Cricetulus griseus: one gene and its partners. The protein of the gene in region 1 binds, or shares a complex with, the protein of each later gene. Links are inferred from orthologs where the notes say so. Each region holds a gene or a part of one and is shown in the gene's direction. Other genes may lie near its edges. The genes, in order: Syncrip, Igf2bp1, Rpl13a and Dhx9.

What was found.
Region 2: Syncrip (region 1) and Igf2bp1 share a complex: the UniProt entries of both Homo sapiens proteins name them as parts of the coding region determinant (CRD)-mediated complex. The link is inferred for Cricetulus griseus from reciprocal best matches to the Homo sapiens genes SYNCRIP and IGF2BP1.
Region 3: Syncrip (region 1) and Rpl13a share a complex: the UniProt entries of both Homo sapiens proteins name them as parts of the GAIT complex. The link is inferred for Cricetulus griseus from reciprocal best matches to the Homo sapiens genes SYNCRIP and RPL13A.
Region 4: Syncrip (region 1) and Dhx9 share a complex: the UniProt entries of both Homo sapiens proteins name them as parts of the coding region determinant (CRD)-mediated complex. The link is inferred for Cricetulus griseus from reciprocal best matches to the Homo sapiens genes SYNCRIP and DHX9.

What each region holds. Positions count from the first base shown.
Region 1 is NC_048597.1:198,373,629-198,376,084, reverse strand, and holds the end of Syncrip (heterogeneous nuclear ribonucleoprotein Q), read left to right. Parts: intron 1-813; coding exon 814-1,405; 3' UTR 1,406-1,941; downstream 1,942-2,456. UniProt on the Homo sapiens protein: Heterogenous nuclear ribonucleoprotein (hnRNP) implicated in mRNA processing mechanisms. Component of the CRD-mediated complex that promotes MYC mRNA stability.
Region 2 is NC_048600.1:109,139,943-109,143,933, reverse strand, and holds the start of Igf2bp1 (insulin-like growth factor 2 mRNA-binding protein 1), read left to right. Parts: upstream 1-1,160; coding exon 1,161-1,335; intron 1,336-2,468; coding exon 2,469-2,529; intron 2,530-3,991. UniProt on the Homo sapiens protein: RNA-binding factor that recruits target transcripts to cytoplasmic protein-RNA complexes (mRNPs). This transcript 'caging' into mRNPs allows mRNA transport and transient storage.
Region 3 is NC_048599.1:154,013,381-154,017,671, reverse strand, and holds the start of Rpl13a (60S ribosomal protein L13a), read left to right. Parts: upstream 1-1,480; 5' UTR 1,481-1,557; coding exon 1,558-1,572; intron 1,573-2,619; coding exon 2,620-2,692; intron 2,693-2,723; exon of another isoform or gene 2,724-2,806; intron 2,807-2,939; coding exon 2,940-3,005; intron 3,006-3,111; coding exon 3,112-3,213; intron 3,214-3,254; exon of another isoform or gene 3,255-3,339; intron 3,340-3,407; coding exon 3,408-3,493; intron 3,494-3,531; exon of another isoform or gene 3,532-3,601; intron 3,602-3,668; coding exon 3,669-3,728; intron 3,729-3,772; exon of another isoform or gene 3,773-3,861; intron 3,862-3,968; coding exon 3,969-4,091; intron 4,092-4,180; coding exon 4,181-4,267; 3' UTR 4,268-4,291. Other genes in the region: Flt3lg (fms-related tyrosine kinase 3 ligand), read left to right, coding at 301-426. UniProt on the Homo sapiens protein: Associated with ribosomes but is not required for canonical ribosome function and has extra-ribosomal functions.
Region 4 is NC_048598.1:38,197,758-38,201,322, forward strand, and holds part of Dhx9 (ATP-dependent RNA helicase A), read left to right. Parts: intron 1-580; coding exon 581-717; intron 718-1,060; coding exon 1,061-1,150; intron 1,151-1,246; coding exon 1,247-1,408; intron 1,409-1,504; coding exon 1,505-1,582; intron 1,583-1,967; coding exon 1,968-2,159; intron 2,160-2,641; coding exon 2,642-2,783; intron 2,784-3,214; coding exon 3,215-3,297; intron 3,298-3,565. UniProt on the Homo sapiens protein: Multifunctional ATP-dependent nucleic acid helicase that unwinds DNA and RNA in a 3' to 5' direction and that plays important roles in many processes, such as DNA replication, transcriptional activation, post-transcriptional RNA regulation, mRNA translation and RNA-mediated gene silencing.

The sequences.
Region 1 (2,456 bases):
TGTCATTCCCTGCTCTCTCTCCCTCTTTTATTCTCCCCCACCCCATACCCTTCCTTCCAGGGAGGGTGAGGCCCTCCATGGGGTATCCCCAAAGTCTGTCATATCCTCTGGGGCAGGGCCTAGGGCCTCAAAGATGAGTATTTGTGTTTATGTGTGGTGAAAAATGTCAGAATGATGATGTGGCTTCTTCTATTGTTTTCTTTTTAAGGGTGCATTTCTGTTACAGATTGTTGCTCTCTTGTTTGTAACATTACTTTTATTCTACAGTGCCATGATGTTACTTGTTAGGGTTAAAGGAGCAAACTTGCTCTTCCAGCGTTCCTGAGTTCAATTCCCAGCAACCACATGATGGCTTACAACCATCTGCAATGAGATCAGCTACCTTCTGCTGGTGTGCAGGAAGAATACTGTATACTCAATAAATAAGCCATTTATTTATTTATTTATTTATATTTGTCTTTAGGCCATTTTGCTAAAAAAAAAAGTTCGTCATTTGCTTGTCCTTTATTTGGCATTTCTATTTTATATCATGTGGTCTGTGGTAAAGGAGTTGTAATTCAGAGTGACAAATTTTAAAGCCTAAGAAGTTTGTAAAAAATCTGTTATAGGAATTGTGAAATCATGAAGGATAAATAGAGATTTCTGAATTATTGGGATGTCTGCTTTTATCCTGGTCCTGCTTATTCCTGCTAAGAACTTAACATAGTGCTAATAATTCCATTTTAAAGACTTGAGTTGCTACAAATAAATGCCTACATGCTAGATCACCAATTTGATTTCTACTCTAATCACCGTCTTTTTTCTTTTTACTAGGTATGATGATTACTACTATTATGGTCCACCTCATATGCCTCCCCCAACAAGAGGTCGAGGGCGTGGAGGTAGAGGTGGCTATGGATATCCTCCAGATTATTATGGATATGAAGATTATTATGATTATTATGGTTATGATTACCATAACTATCGTGGTGGATATGAAGATCCATACTATGGTTATGAAGATTTTCAAGTTGGAGCTAGAGGAAGGGGTGGTAGAGGAGCAAGGGGTGCTGCTCCATCAAGAGGTCGTGGGGCTGCTCCTCCCCGTGGTAGAGCCGGTTATTCACAGAGAGGAGGCCCTGGATCAGCAAGAGGCGTTCGTGGTGCGAGAGGAGGCGCCCAACAACAAAGAGGCCGCGGGGTACGTGGTGCAAGGGGTGGCCGCGGTGGAAATGTAGGAGGAAAGCGCAAAGCTGATGGGTACAACCAGCCAGATTCCAAGCGGCGCCAGACCAATAATCAGAACTGGGGCTCCCAACCCATTGCTCAGCAACCGCTCCAAGGTGGTGATCATTCTGGTAACTATGGTTACAAAACTGAAAACCAGGAGTTTTATCAGGATACTTTTGGGCAACAGTGGAAGTAGAAACAATAGGGAATCTGTAAAATTGGAGACTGATAGATTGGCCAGAAACTGGCCCTAAATCTAAACAGGTGCAGTTATAATTTGAGACATCTGGCAAGATTTTCCCTTTATGTATATATTTTAACAATCCAATCCGCTTGGACATGAACAAAGCCACACTTATGTTTCTGGCGAACTGATTTTATTTTTACTTTTATTTTTTTCCAATAATGGTATTCTTAGTTAAGAGAAAAATGAGTTGGCATTCCTGATTGAGAATTTGGCTCATTTGGCTGTAGTACATACAATGTTTCTGGGTAGTGTTTAGATTTGGTGTCTTGAAAGGTAGTTGATTAAAAACCAAGTATGTCTTTAATATCTTGTATCAGAACAACTATTTGTATGTTACCAACTTAAATTGCTAGAATAAGGTAAATTGGTACACAACTGCTATTTTTAATTTAGAACTTTGACCTAATTGGGTTTTCAAAACCATTTGGCTACTTGTATTCTTTATGCTGTTGTTAATTTCAATAAAAAATTCACACCTAAATGTATACTTACTAAAACTGTGTTTACAATTCGTTTTTCACAAAATTTCCTGCAAATTTGGTTGAAATTCTCTAGCATGTCAAGGCCAATTAAAGGGTTTGGGCCTTGTTAGTCCTTGTGTGGAATATGTCTGCACATTACACAACACTGACTTGTTGCAGTTTTCTGCTTCTGGGTTAAAGTGCTATTATACAACAGACTTCTTGTTCTCAACCAAAATTTATAATTAGTATGTGTAGTAAGTTTAAGTTGGTAAGTATTTTTATAACTCTTAACTTCATGATAAAGTATTACAAGGACAATTACAGGTAGTTTCAAACAGTTGTAGGATACACTTAACACTAGTTGTTTCAAGTTTTTTCTAACTTAATCTAAAAATCAATTGAGTATTGCCCTTTTGATTATTTTGTGCAGCATGACTCAGCAAAGAAACAACTAATGTGATATTGGGAATAATGTGAGTGCTTAATTTATGAGATGCATTTTCTTTTAAGTCATTGTGCTTCCCTCTTAATTAAAA
Region 2 (3,991 bases), on another chromosome or scaffold:
TGGAGCGAGCACCCCGCATCATCCTCTCCCACCCCGCTGGTCCTTCGGGAGTGACCTCAGCCGGGTCGCCGGCTCCCCCCCAGGAACGCTGGAGAGCTGTCATCCAGCAGCTGGACTGGGTGCGAGCCAGCTCTGCTCCGGCGGGGATCCCGAAACACCATTTGCCGCGGGTCCCTCGTTCCCAGGAGCTGTCCCGCGCGACCAGGGTCCCCCGGATCTGGACCCGGGAGGCCAGGGAAGTCTCCTGGGGGTGTGGAGGGGAAGACAGTGACGCCCTGCTTAGAAACGTAGAGGGAAGGCGTCTTCCCCCCTAACTAGCCGGTTCTTGCGATCCCCTCCTGAAGACCCCGGAGTCCTCGGCTTCTCTTTGTCTGTCTCGGCCGTCCCCCGCCTGTCAGTCGCTAGCAGTTTACCAGGGTGGGGTGGGCAACCCAGTCTCCACACAACGAATAAAAAAATGACCGAACGTTTCACTCCAAAGGACTGGGGAGATTTGGGTCGCCACCGCCCTCCCCCAGGGCAGGTCGCGGTGGCAAGAGGGGTGGGTGGGGGCGGGGCGCCGCCTCAGGGGCCAGGTTCTTGCAAAGGGGGAGGGGGCGAGGGGAGCTTCGGGGACTCCGTCTCCACCTTCCTGGCTAACCCCTGGGGTGCGCCGGGTGCCCCCCAAGACCGGAGACTGTTGGGTTGGTCCCGGTTGGACGGCCCAGGGGCCCGGTGGCGTCGGGGGTCTTTCCTTGCAGGGTGGGTGGGGGCTGTCACCACGTGGCTTCGCCTTTTTTTTTTTCCGCTCCATTTTTTTTTTTTTCCAAGTCGATTTTATTTAGAGGCGGCGCCAGGGCGGCCGCGGAGAAACGTGACACACCAGCCCGCTCGCAGGGGTTTCGGACCGAAGGGAAGGAGCTGCGCCGCGTCGTCCGCCTCCCTGCGCTCCGCGGGCACTTCTCCCGGGCCACCCCGAACTCTCCCGTGACCTCCGCGCGCCCTCAGGTCGCCCACCCGCCCGGAGCTCCGGACAACTTGAGGGGTGGGGCGCGTAGAAAGTTTGCAGCTCCCGCCGCCCGCCTCCGCGCCTCTCGGCCTAGGAGGCTCTCCGCTCGCCAGCCCGCCCGCCCGCCCGTTCGGCCTTGCCCGGGACCACGTCCTGCCCCGCCACCGCCACCATGAACAAGCTTTACATCGGCAACCTCAACGAGAGCGTGACCCCCGCAGACTTGGAGAAAGTGTTTGCGGAGCACAAGATCTCCTACAGCGGCCAGTTCTTGGTCAAATCCGGCTACGCCTTCGTGGACTGCCCCGACGAACACTGGGCGATGAAGGCCATCGAAACTTTCTCGGGTAAGAGCGCGGCCACCTCCCCGGGGGAAAAAAAAAAACAAAACCACACAACGAAATCCCAGAACAACGGAGACCCGCAGCTCCTCTTTTCTTGCCCGCCAACTCTTCCCGGGCCCGCGGGGCTCGGCCTCGGTAGCCTGCCTCGACCTACCTCCCTCGACGCCCCCTCCCCACGCGGGAATGGTCGGGGTTCCCTTCTCCCTTCCCCCAGCCCGGGACACGCGAGGCTCCTCGCCCCCCTCCCCACCGACGGGGCGGGAGCCCCCGTCGGCAACTGGTGGGGGTGGGGGTCTCCCGGGCCCCGGGTCTAGGCGTGGTCTCCCCGGTGCCCGCACCCCTCCGCTGGGAGGCCCCCCCTGCTGGAGCACCCCCACGCCCATGCTCTCCCTCCTAGGCCTTCCCAGGAGGGGTGCTCCTGCACCTCGGGTCTTCCCGCTCTCTTCCTGGGCACTCGCCCTGAGACAGGACGTGGGAGGAAGGGGCTCCCGCCTCCCGCCCAAGGCCTGGGGCTTGAGCCATTTTGATTTGAAAGTGGGGCGTGAGCCGGGTGGCGCGGCGGCGGCGCCGGGTCGCCATGCTGCTTCCCGAGACGCCGAGGCTGGGCCGAGAGGCGCGCGGTGGCCGCGAGGGACCCTCCCCACCCGGCCGCGCCGCGCCGCGCCCCCCGGGGCCCTCGGCTAGCCCTCCGGCCCCGACAGGTGACGCCTAGTCGCCTGAGCTCTTCTCCGAGGCTCGGCAGGAAAATAAAGTTTAATGCTCTACTCCCACCCCACTCGGAGAAACGGGGTGATCCTTTCCCCGGGCTCCTTCCTACTTCTGGGAGCCGCAGAAGCCGCGCGCTCACCACACAAACGCTCTCACACCTTTCCTAAATCTGGCTCTCGGAGCAGTCCCTGCAACTAGCCCACGTGATTAGTGGAAATTAAACGAAAATTTGAGAAAAACGAATTTACGGGTTCTACCATGCCTGGAGCAAGGTAGAACACCCCCCCGCCAAGGCTTAGGCAGCTTAGTGCCTAGATTCCTAAGACGCCCCTCAAACTCTTGAATTTAGCTAATGTTCCTTATCCTCCCTTCCTCCCCATCCCCCACTCTTGTTCCCTCATTCATTTTTTTTTTTTTTAAATCTTCAGGGAAAGTAGAGCTACAAGGAAAACGCCTAGAGATTGAACACTCGGTCCCCAAAAAACAAAGGTAGGAAAAGAACTCATTTGGGGGAACTGAGGAATATTAAGGGGGTCCAATCCATAGCGTCGTCTCCAGTGGAACAAACCCATTACTGGCCTTCCCAACTCCGGATGTTGGGGGCTGGGAAATAAGATTGGCCAAGATCTTGTAATGGGTGTTTTAGAGCTTTAAAAAAAAAAAAAACAACAACAACAACTTGGGATTGGGGTGGGCCAAAAGATGTTACTTTCAGAAACTAAAGAGAAAAAAATCAATTGGGGGAAGCCCTGTGGAGTTAGTTCAAAGTGAGGGACCATTTTTGTAGGGAAGCGTAGATATACAGAGTTCAAACTCATAGCGGGGGTGATTTCTTTAACTTCCCGCCAGGCTTCTTCTTTTTTTTTTTCTGTTTCTCTCATCCACATAATAATTTGAAAATGGATTTAGGGGAATCCCTTTCTCATTGGGGGTGAAATAATGAGCAATCCACCCCTATTAGAATCTGCTTATGCCGTATTAATTTCTGTTATAGGCATGGCTTTTGTTGCCCCCCTCACAGACCCTCATCCCCAGCCCCTCGCATCTTATATTGCCCCTTCAACTGGATTTTCAAAGAATATCCTTTGGCTGTACTATCCCTTTCCAGCCCCCCCACCCCCACTCCTTCAGCCCATTGTTACAAGGGACCATCTGGGGTGAGAGCTTTGTGCTCAGGCTGTGAGCTGGGGCTCTTTGGAGGGTCTAGAACTCCAGGGATGAATGGGTGTGTGTGTGTGTTCTCATCTGAGTTCTTTTTTCCCTGTATTCCATCTTTTCCATCAAAATGGGGTATCTCCATCTTGCTCCCCTAAAATTCAGGGTGCTTTGAATTCTGAAGTCTTCGGTTGAACTCTGACTGTGTAGCATAAGGGCAGTGTTTCTCACATCAGACTTTTTGAACATGTTGACAGTGCAGTTTTCTTTCCTGTCTTTAGCTGGAAGCAGTCCTCAGTACATTTTTGGTCCCCTCAACCCCTCTTTCAACTGGAAACTTCCTGAATTTCTGAACAGTTTTTGGCCTTTCCTAAGGTGGAAATGTGTGTGGGTGCTGTGCTTTTGGTGTGTGTGTGTGTGGGGGGGGTACTTTTAAAGAATCTAAAGTTTAGCTGGAGATAAACTGTTCTGTGGTTTGCCTTCAGATTTTAAAGTAACTGAATGATTGCCTCTATAGATGATCAATATTGTGTCTGTTTCTAGAGTATGTGATTTGTTGTCAGATGCTTGAGAAATTGGAAAGGTGATTAGAATTAGGAGCAAAGAGGCACTAAAATGAAAAGGAAAGAAAAGTCTTACTTTGAAAAAATTTGGGAGAGAATAACATAATTGAGGTCTATTTGAAGATTATGAATATTTAAATTCAAAACTCTTGATGGGGAATCTAATAACTGGAATTCTGAAATATGTGATCTTTCCCCTTCTGCTCTTGAGAATGGTTTAAAATTTAAAGCCG
Region 3 (4,291 bases), on another chromosome or scaffold:
TTAAAGGTGTGTGTCACCACACCTGGCTGTAAGACTCCCTTCGGAAAAAACAAAAACAAAAAACTTGGAGTAGATTTTGTGGTGCAAGTCCGAGTTCCTACACCCTGGAGGGGAGGCAGAAGGGTCAGGATTCTGGGTTATCTACTAATACACAGAAATTCGAGGCTAGCCTAAAGGGGGGTGGGGTGGGTGTAGGGAGGGGCAGGGAGAGGTGGGAGGGTGTAAGCTCAGTGGTAGAGGGCTTGAAGGGTGCTGAGAACTCCAGTCTTCAGACAGACCATTGATGATCCAGTTTTACAGAGGAGGATACTGAGGCCAAGCAGGCGTCACCTGACAGATGTTGCACAACCTGGACACAGGGAAAGTTGGGTAGAGCCTGGCCCCTTCTTGGACCTTGCTGCCCCTCCAGCCCTCTCCCCAGGATGAAGTCAACATCAGGACCCAGCCCCACTCACCCCACTCTGTACAAACTCCTTGCTCCCATGAATTTGTATATAAATGGTTTTTACCAGATCTTCCGGACCTATCTGTGGACGGGACAGGGAGTGGGTGGGCTGCTTTAGGTCTCAGGATCTTGGTTTTGCGGGGCTTGGTCATGTAATCCCACCTCCCCAGAAGCTGAGGCAGGATCTCAAGTTTAAGGCCAGCCAGGATTGCAGAAATACTATGTCAGAAGCCAAAACCACGACAACAGGTTTGTTTTCTGAGGCCACCAATGGCCCAGGGTCAGCACTGGGTGATGCTCTCTCTAACAGAACCCCGATGTGAGGCAGAAGCAAGATCATAAAGCCACCAAGTGGCAGGAAAACAAAGTGCTGGAGCCTCCAGGAGGAATCGAGTCAGGCTGGGGAGTTTGGGGAGGTTCTCTAGAGAAAGTGAGTCAGTGAGACGGCCCAATCTGTGTTTTGTTGTGGGAGGTATAGGTACCCCTCAGGGAGGGTATCTCAGATGGCATGCTTAGCCGATACAAAGGCCATTGCAACAGAAGCACGTGTCTGCGGCCCAGGACCCTGCAAGTCCTTCCTCCCACCGTCTCTTCCTTCTGGGGTGACTACCTCCACCGGTTTAACATTCGGAAACTCCTAGATTCAAGAAAGGCCATCAGTTGTCCGCACACCATGAGGTTGAAGGGAGGGGACGCGGACACTGCGAGACCGGCCGGGACTTACGCTCGCCCCCTGGCGGCCACCGCGCGCTCCGCAGCCGCCGGTCCTTGAGGGAGTAATGGCGCCGCGCACAGCGGATACGGGAGCGAACAGCGCTCCCTCCAAATATGGCCGCCGGGGCCGGACGGCCCCGTCCCGCCGAAGCCGCCTCGGGACCCACGTGACCTCCCGCCCCACACAGTCATGGCCGCGAAGGTCCAGCTCAAACCAGTCCGTGATTGGACCATATAAAGATGACCCACCGTCCAGTGTGCGCATGCACACCGCTTCAACCAATGAAAAGACAGAAAGCCTTCCGTTCGTCCCGGGTTGCGTCACTTCCTCCGCCCCTGCGGCAAGGGATAAGAAACCCTGCGCCAAGACCTCCTCCTTTCCCAGGCGGCTGCCGAAGATGGCGGAGGGACAGGTCGGGCTCTGCGCGCGCCGGGAGGTGTGGGGGGTCGGGCGGGCGCCAGGCCGGAGCGGAAGGGGCCTCCGCTCCGCTCGGCGTGTGCAGTGGGACTTAAGGACGCAGTTGAGCAAAGGAAGAACGTTTTGACGCGAGGGCAGTGTAACGTGGGCATAGCGAGCCGCGCATGTCTTTAGGTATGGGGCGACGGAACGCTACGTGTTTCCCGGGGAGACGGGAGTGGGGCTTGGGGCCCCGACACCCGCTAGCAACCTTGAGAGGTCCGTCTCTCAGACACTTGGAACGCGGGGAGCTCGGGGCCGCTCGCTGCTGCGCTTCTGATGCGAAGCTGCTGAGTTAGAGACTCCTGGTTTCGGGACTCAAGCGTGCCGGTTTCTGTAGCTTCTGTCAGTCCTAAGGGTGCTTTCAAAGTCTTTAAGTGTTACGGGATGAATTAGTGAGAAGCATCGGGATTTTGAGGCTATTCAGTAATCGAAATCACCTTTGCTGGGGTATTTTTTCTTCTTAAAAAATGCTTGGAGGATCTCTGCCCGTCTCTTGTCGTTTGGGCCGGGTTACAAGCACATGCCAGCCACCAGGTGTGAGACTTGAAGACTGCTGCTTTCCAGAATTACAAACTAGACAGGGCAGCCATTATATAGTGAATTATTGGGTTTTGCTTTATACTATTGGTATGGTTTCTGTTCCTTGTGAGCGAGTTGAGACTATGATGCAGAGCCACCGTGGCCTAAACTTACCCCAAACGAAGTCTTAGCATGGGATTTTGTTAAAGGCTGGCTGCTTGCACAAGAAGTAGTAGATTGCAGTTTTCCAGCCATTTGAGTCTTTGCATGACAACGAGATGAGGCTCAGTTAAGATTGCAGGCACTTGAACCCTTCTCACGTGCTGCTGGGGCAGCCTTGGGCTTTCTCTTGGTTTGTTGTACCCCTTTGGGGCACCTTATCTGCTTGATAAGTCATCCTGTGGGGAAGGGCACTGGCATGAGTGGTTGGTAACTTGGTAGAGAGAGCCAGACTGCTTCCTAAGCCTTTTGTCTCCCACAGGTTCTAGTGTTGGATGGCAGAGGCCATCTTCTGGGCCGCCTGGCGGCCATTGTGGCAAAGCAAGTGCTACTGGGTAAGTTTCATTCAGAATTTCTGTTTGCCTGCAAGTCAGTGATGAGCAACAATCACCATCTTTCGTTTGAGTCTCACGACTGTGAGATCAACCCATGCACCGCTCTGAGACTTGACGGTCCCTCCTGGACTCCTTCCTGGTTCAAGTGGTTTTGGAGCAGGAGATTTGCACTTCATCTAGGATGTGGTTTTTCTGGGTGTTTAGGGGTGACTTTACTGGCTGTCTTCACAACCCATGTTCTCTCTAGGCCGGAAGGTAGTCGTTGTGCGCTGTGAAGGCATCAACATTTCTGGAAACTTTTACAGAAACAAGTGTGAGTGAGGGCCCAGGGCATCATCTCTAGGTGGGGTGCTGACCTAAGTTCTGGACAAGCAGGTCCTTGGTGTAGACTCGACCTCATCCACTTTTCTTCTTGGCAGTAAAGTACCTGGCTTTCCTCCGAAAGCGGATGAACACCAACCCCTCTCGAGGCCCCTACCACTTCCGAGCCCCGAGCCGCATTTTTTGGCGCACTGTACGAGGTGAGTTGGGCCTGTGGGTGCCATGGAGAATGGGGAATCTGGCAGCCTATGATGAAGCGATCTCCCACTGGTGTTCGAGTTTCCCAACTATGAGACAACTCTACATGCACTACCATCTGAGGCTGGGTGGGCTCCCAGATCTGGGCTAAGAGCGCTTTTCAGCCCCTCTGAAGGGAGTCCTGTTCTTCCCACAGGCATGCTGCCCCACAAGACTAAGCGAGGCCAGGCTGCCTTGGAACGCCTCAAGGTGTTGGATGGGATCCCTCCTCCCTATGACAAGGTGAGCAGCGCAAGCCTAGCTTTCCACAGCCTGTGTCCAGCGTCTGTGATGTTCTGCTATTACCTACATTGTTTGAGCCTCATGAAAACGCCACTAGCTGAGACGCCTGCCCCACCAGCCTCCTTCCCAGGTGATGCTCACAAAAGGTCTCTGAGCCCTTCTCCTTCTCTAACAGAAAAAACGGATGGTGGTCCCTGCCGCCCTCAAGGTTGTGCGGCTGAAGCCTACTAGAAAGGTAAGCTTAAAGTTGCAGAGTGGTCTAGGTGGGACCTGTAGACTGGCAGATGATGTTTTTTTTCTCACGATGGTCTTCGGATGCCACCGATTGGCAGTGCCGATAATGCCACAGGCTCAGCTGATGCCAGTAGGGGCTCCTGTATAGGGGGATATGTCCTTTAAGAGAACCTCTAGGGTCCTTTAGCTCACCCTTGTGCTGCCGGGACACCCATGTCCTTACAGCCTTGTGCCCCTGCAGTTTGCCTACCTGGGGCGCCTGGCTCATGAGGTCGGGTGGAAATACCAGGCAGTGACAGCCACGCTGGAGGAGAAACGCAAGGAAAAGGCCAAGGTCCACTATCGGAAGAAGAAGCAGCTCTTGGTGAGGACAGGACCCTCACATATGCCCTGGGGCGGGAAAGGGTAGTCTGGGAGAGAAAGCCACTCACCGCTTGTTACTTCACCTCACAGAGGCTACGCAAACAGGCAGAAAAGAACGTGGAGAAGAAAATAAGCAAGTTCACAGAGGTCCTCAAGACCAACGGACTCCTGGTGTGAGCCCAATAAAGACTGTTTGTGCTA
Region 4 (3,565 bases), on another chromosome or scaffold:
TCAGAAGATTAATGTTCTGAAATTCTCTCTCTGTAACAAATTCTGAATTCTGCAACTTAATACATTGTTAAATTTAACATATGGAAATTTTTCATGGACAGTAGTGGTTCCTCTGCTTTTTGGGGGGTCAAGTTCTTGAGGTAGCTCTGGCTTTCATAGAACTATGAATTCAAGCTCACTCTGCATCTACTTTTGTATCAAAGAAGAGTGAACAGTTGTGATAGCCTATGTGACTTAGAAGACCTATATTTTTTAACATGATCTAGCTCTAAAGTTTTGTAATCCTGAGATGTGATCATAGGTACTCTACTATGCCCATGGAGTTTTAATTCATTAAGTGGAAATCTCTTCATGGATATTATACTTAAGGCTTTTAGTTTGTCTATATAGTTTTTTTTTATCTGGTTTCATGATGTGGTAATAAAAGATGAGTGGGTTGTAGGAATTGTATTTGGATAGCGAATGGAATGAAAAGAACTGTGATGTACTTTATATGGGTGTTTGTTTGGTACATAAAATGCCTACTTGTTTCTGATGGTTTTTTTATGTAGCTGATTTCTGTCTGTGGTAATTCTTATAGGGATTTTTGCACGTGAACATGGATCAAACAAGAAATTAGCAGCACAGTCATGTGCCCTCTCACTTGTCCGACAACTCTATCATCTTGGAGTGATTGAGGCTTACTCTGGGCTTACAAAGAAGAAAGAAGGCGAGAGAGTATGTATTTAGGCATAACTACCCTGAGTAACTTAATATTTGGCTACAGAAGTTGAATGAGTTGGGGACAAGGGCATTATAATGGAAATTAGGGGTCTTAAATGCCAAATACTATTTCTGAGCTAAAAGCTTAGTAAATCAGGAAATTAAAATGCTGCATTGATTTAATTAGCACTTTGATAAGGATCCAGTCAGTGAGTGAGTCATTAAAGAAATTCTCACTAAAAGGAATTGTTGATTGTGTCTATAATAACCCCGGTCTCAACTCTATATTATTTTCGTGAAATTAATTTTGAATTTTATTCATGGTTGTATTAATGATTTTCATTACTCCTTTTTGTAGGTGGAGCCGTACAAAGTTTTCCTGTCTCCAGATTTGGAGCATCAGCTGCAAAATGTGGTTCAAGAGCTAGATCTTGAAATTGTGCCCCCAGTAAGCATATATATAGCCTTTTGTAGTTAACCTTATTTTAAAATCTTCACTTAGACAAGTGTTTCCTTTTATTTACTTGTTTTGCTTTTTTATCAGCCTGTTGATCCTTCCATGCCAGTTATACTCAACATTGGGAAATTGGCTCATTTTGAACCATCTCAGAGGCAAAACGCAGTGGGAGTGGTACCTTGGTCACCTCCACAGTCCAACTGGAATCCTTGGACTAGTAGCAACATTGATGAGGGGCCCCTGGCTTATGTGAGTACCACGAGGTTTCTAAGATCAGTTTTTGGGATTTCCTCCTTCCTTGGGTCAGGATAAAAGAGATTTTGTTTGAATGTGTTCTTTTTGTAGGCTTCTACAGAACAAATCAGCATGGACCTAAAGAATGAATTAACATACCAGCTGGAACAGGATCATAATTTACAAAGTGTAAGTGGTGAAGATTTTCACATTCATTGTCTAGTGTTTCAGAACAGTGTAGTTAGGTTGAATGACAAATCTGAAATAATTAGTAATCATGTATCATAGTTAAAATCTGATAGTAGTGGCTGTTAATTCAGGACCTAAAAATGAGTTGTGCTACTATTTGAACGCACTGCAGCAAATTGAAAAATTATTAACATTTTGTGGCAAGTAATTACATTTAGAATGTTTATGGAGACCTAAGAATGAAATAGAATGAGGACCACAAGACAGATTCTCTAGAAATTTAGTTGAGAATCAATTCTATTAGAAATACAAATATTGGTAGTAAGCCAATTAGAAAGGAAAATTATTCAAAGGAAGTTTTACTAAGTTTTAACTGTGTTAACAGGTGTTACAAGAGAGAGAGATGCTTCCTGTGAAGAAATTTGAACCTGAAATCCTGGAAGCCATTAGCCAAAATTCGGTTGTGATAATCCGTGGGGCTACTGGATGTGGTAAAACCACCCAGGTTCCACAGTACATTTTGGATGACTTTATCCAGAATGGCCGAGCAGCAGAGTGTAATATTGTTGTGACTCAGGTAAATACCAAGCCAGTGTATGAGTTCTATTAATAGTTTGGGAGTTTTTGGGGGTTTGTTGTGGTGGTGGTCAAACAAGGTTTCAAGAATGTTAAGTTTCTAGCCCCACTGCCATCTTCCTTTGTACTGGGGATTTGATATTGAACCTTGGCATGGTAGGTACTTGTGTTAACTATCATGTTTCTGTTAGTAAGCTGTCAAAGAGAGCCATTGCAGTAATTTGAAATTTGAGCTGGGTGTGGTGTTAACAGTTTGAGGTGGGACTTGAATATGTAGTCAGAACATTAAAAAGGCTTGAGTATTTGGTGGTAGAGCACTTGCCTAACATGTAACTTAGGGTGGTTTTTGGTTTTTTTTTTTTTTTTTAACACATGGTTTCTCTTTGTAGTAACCTAGCTTTTATCATGCATATAACACATAGACACTTTTCAGTATAACTAATTCTGAAGTTTCATATTTTGTGTTTTGTTTTGTTTTTTCAGCCGAGAAGGATCAGTGCAGTTGCAGTGGCTGAGCGAGTTGCTTATGAGAGAGGTGAAGAGCCTGGAAAAAGCTGTGGTTACAGTGTCCGCTTTGAGTCTATACTTCCACGCCCCCATGCCAGTATAATGTTTTGTACTGTAGGTCAGTAATGCATTTTGATACCTCATTTGCAATTGTCACATTTTTATACTAAGACTATAAAAAGGTTACAGTATTGCACACTTTAATCCTAGTGCTATAGAGGCAGAAGGTGGCAAATATCTCTTTTTAAGGCTAACCATAGAATGAGTTCATGAAAGTCAGGACAATACAGAAAAAAGTCTCAAAATAGAATATGATTCAGGATATTTCAGACCTCTTCTACAATGATAGAATTGTGTTGCAGCAGGGTTGATTGCCTCCTTGTTAAAAGGTTTCTCTATGTGACTGTATGATCACCATGCTCTAAATAATTGATCTTAGAGGTATGTGCTGCCAGCCAACCCCAGCCAAAATTTGTTGTTTGTTGCTTCTTTGACTACCTAACAAAGAAACCTAACCTGTCTCATAATTGTTCTGACTTTCTTTTCAAGGTGTGCTCCTAAGAAAATTAGAAGCGGGGATTCGAGGGATCAGTCATGTAATTGTAGATGAAATTCATGAAAGAGATATTAATGTAAGTTACTTATGAATTAAGAGGATGATTTGTCTATGTCTAATTGAATAAATTGCTTTTCCTTGCTCTTTTCCTTTCATCTACTTCTGAATATTGTTAAGAGAACCTGTGAACCATCAGGTAATACTTTGTTTATGATGATCAGTAAGAATTTATGCAACTTAGTTTAGAGCTTAGTAGTGATTTATGACTTGAGTAGCTGGCTGGATATTAGGATTAGTTTTCCTTTGTATGTGATACTGTGCTTTTGGCAAAATGTTGGTGGGTA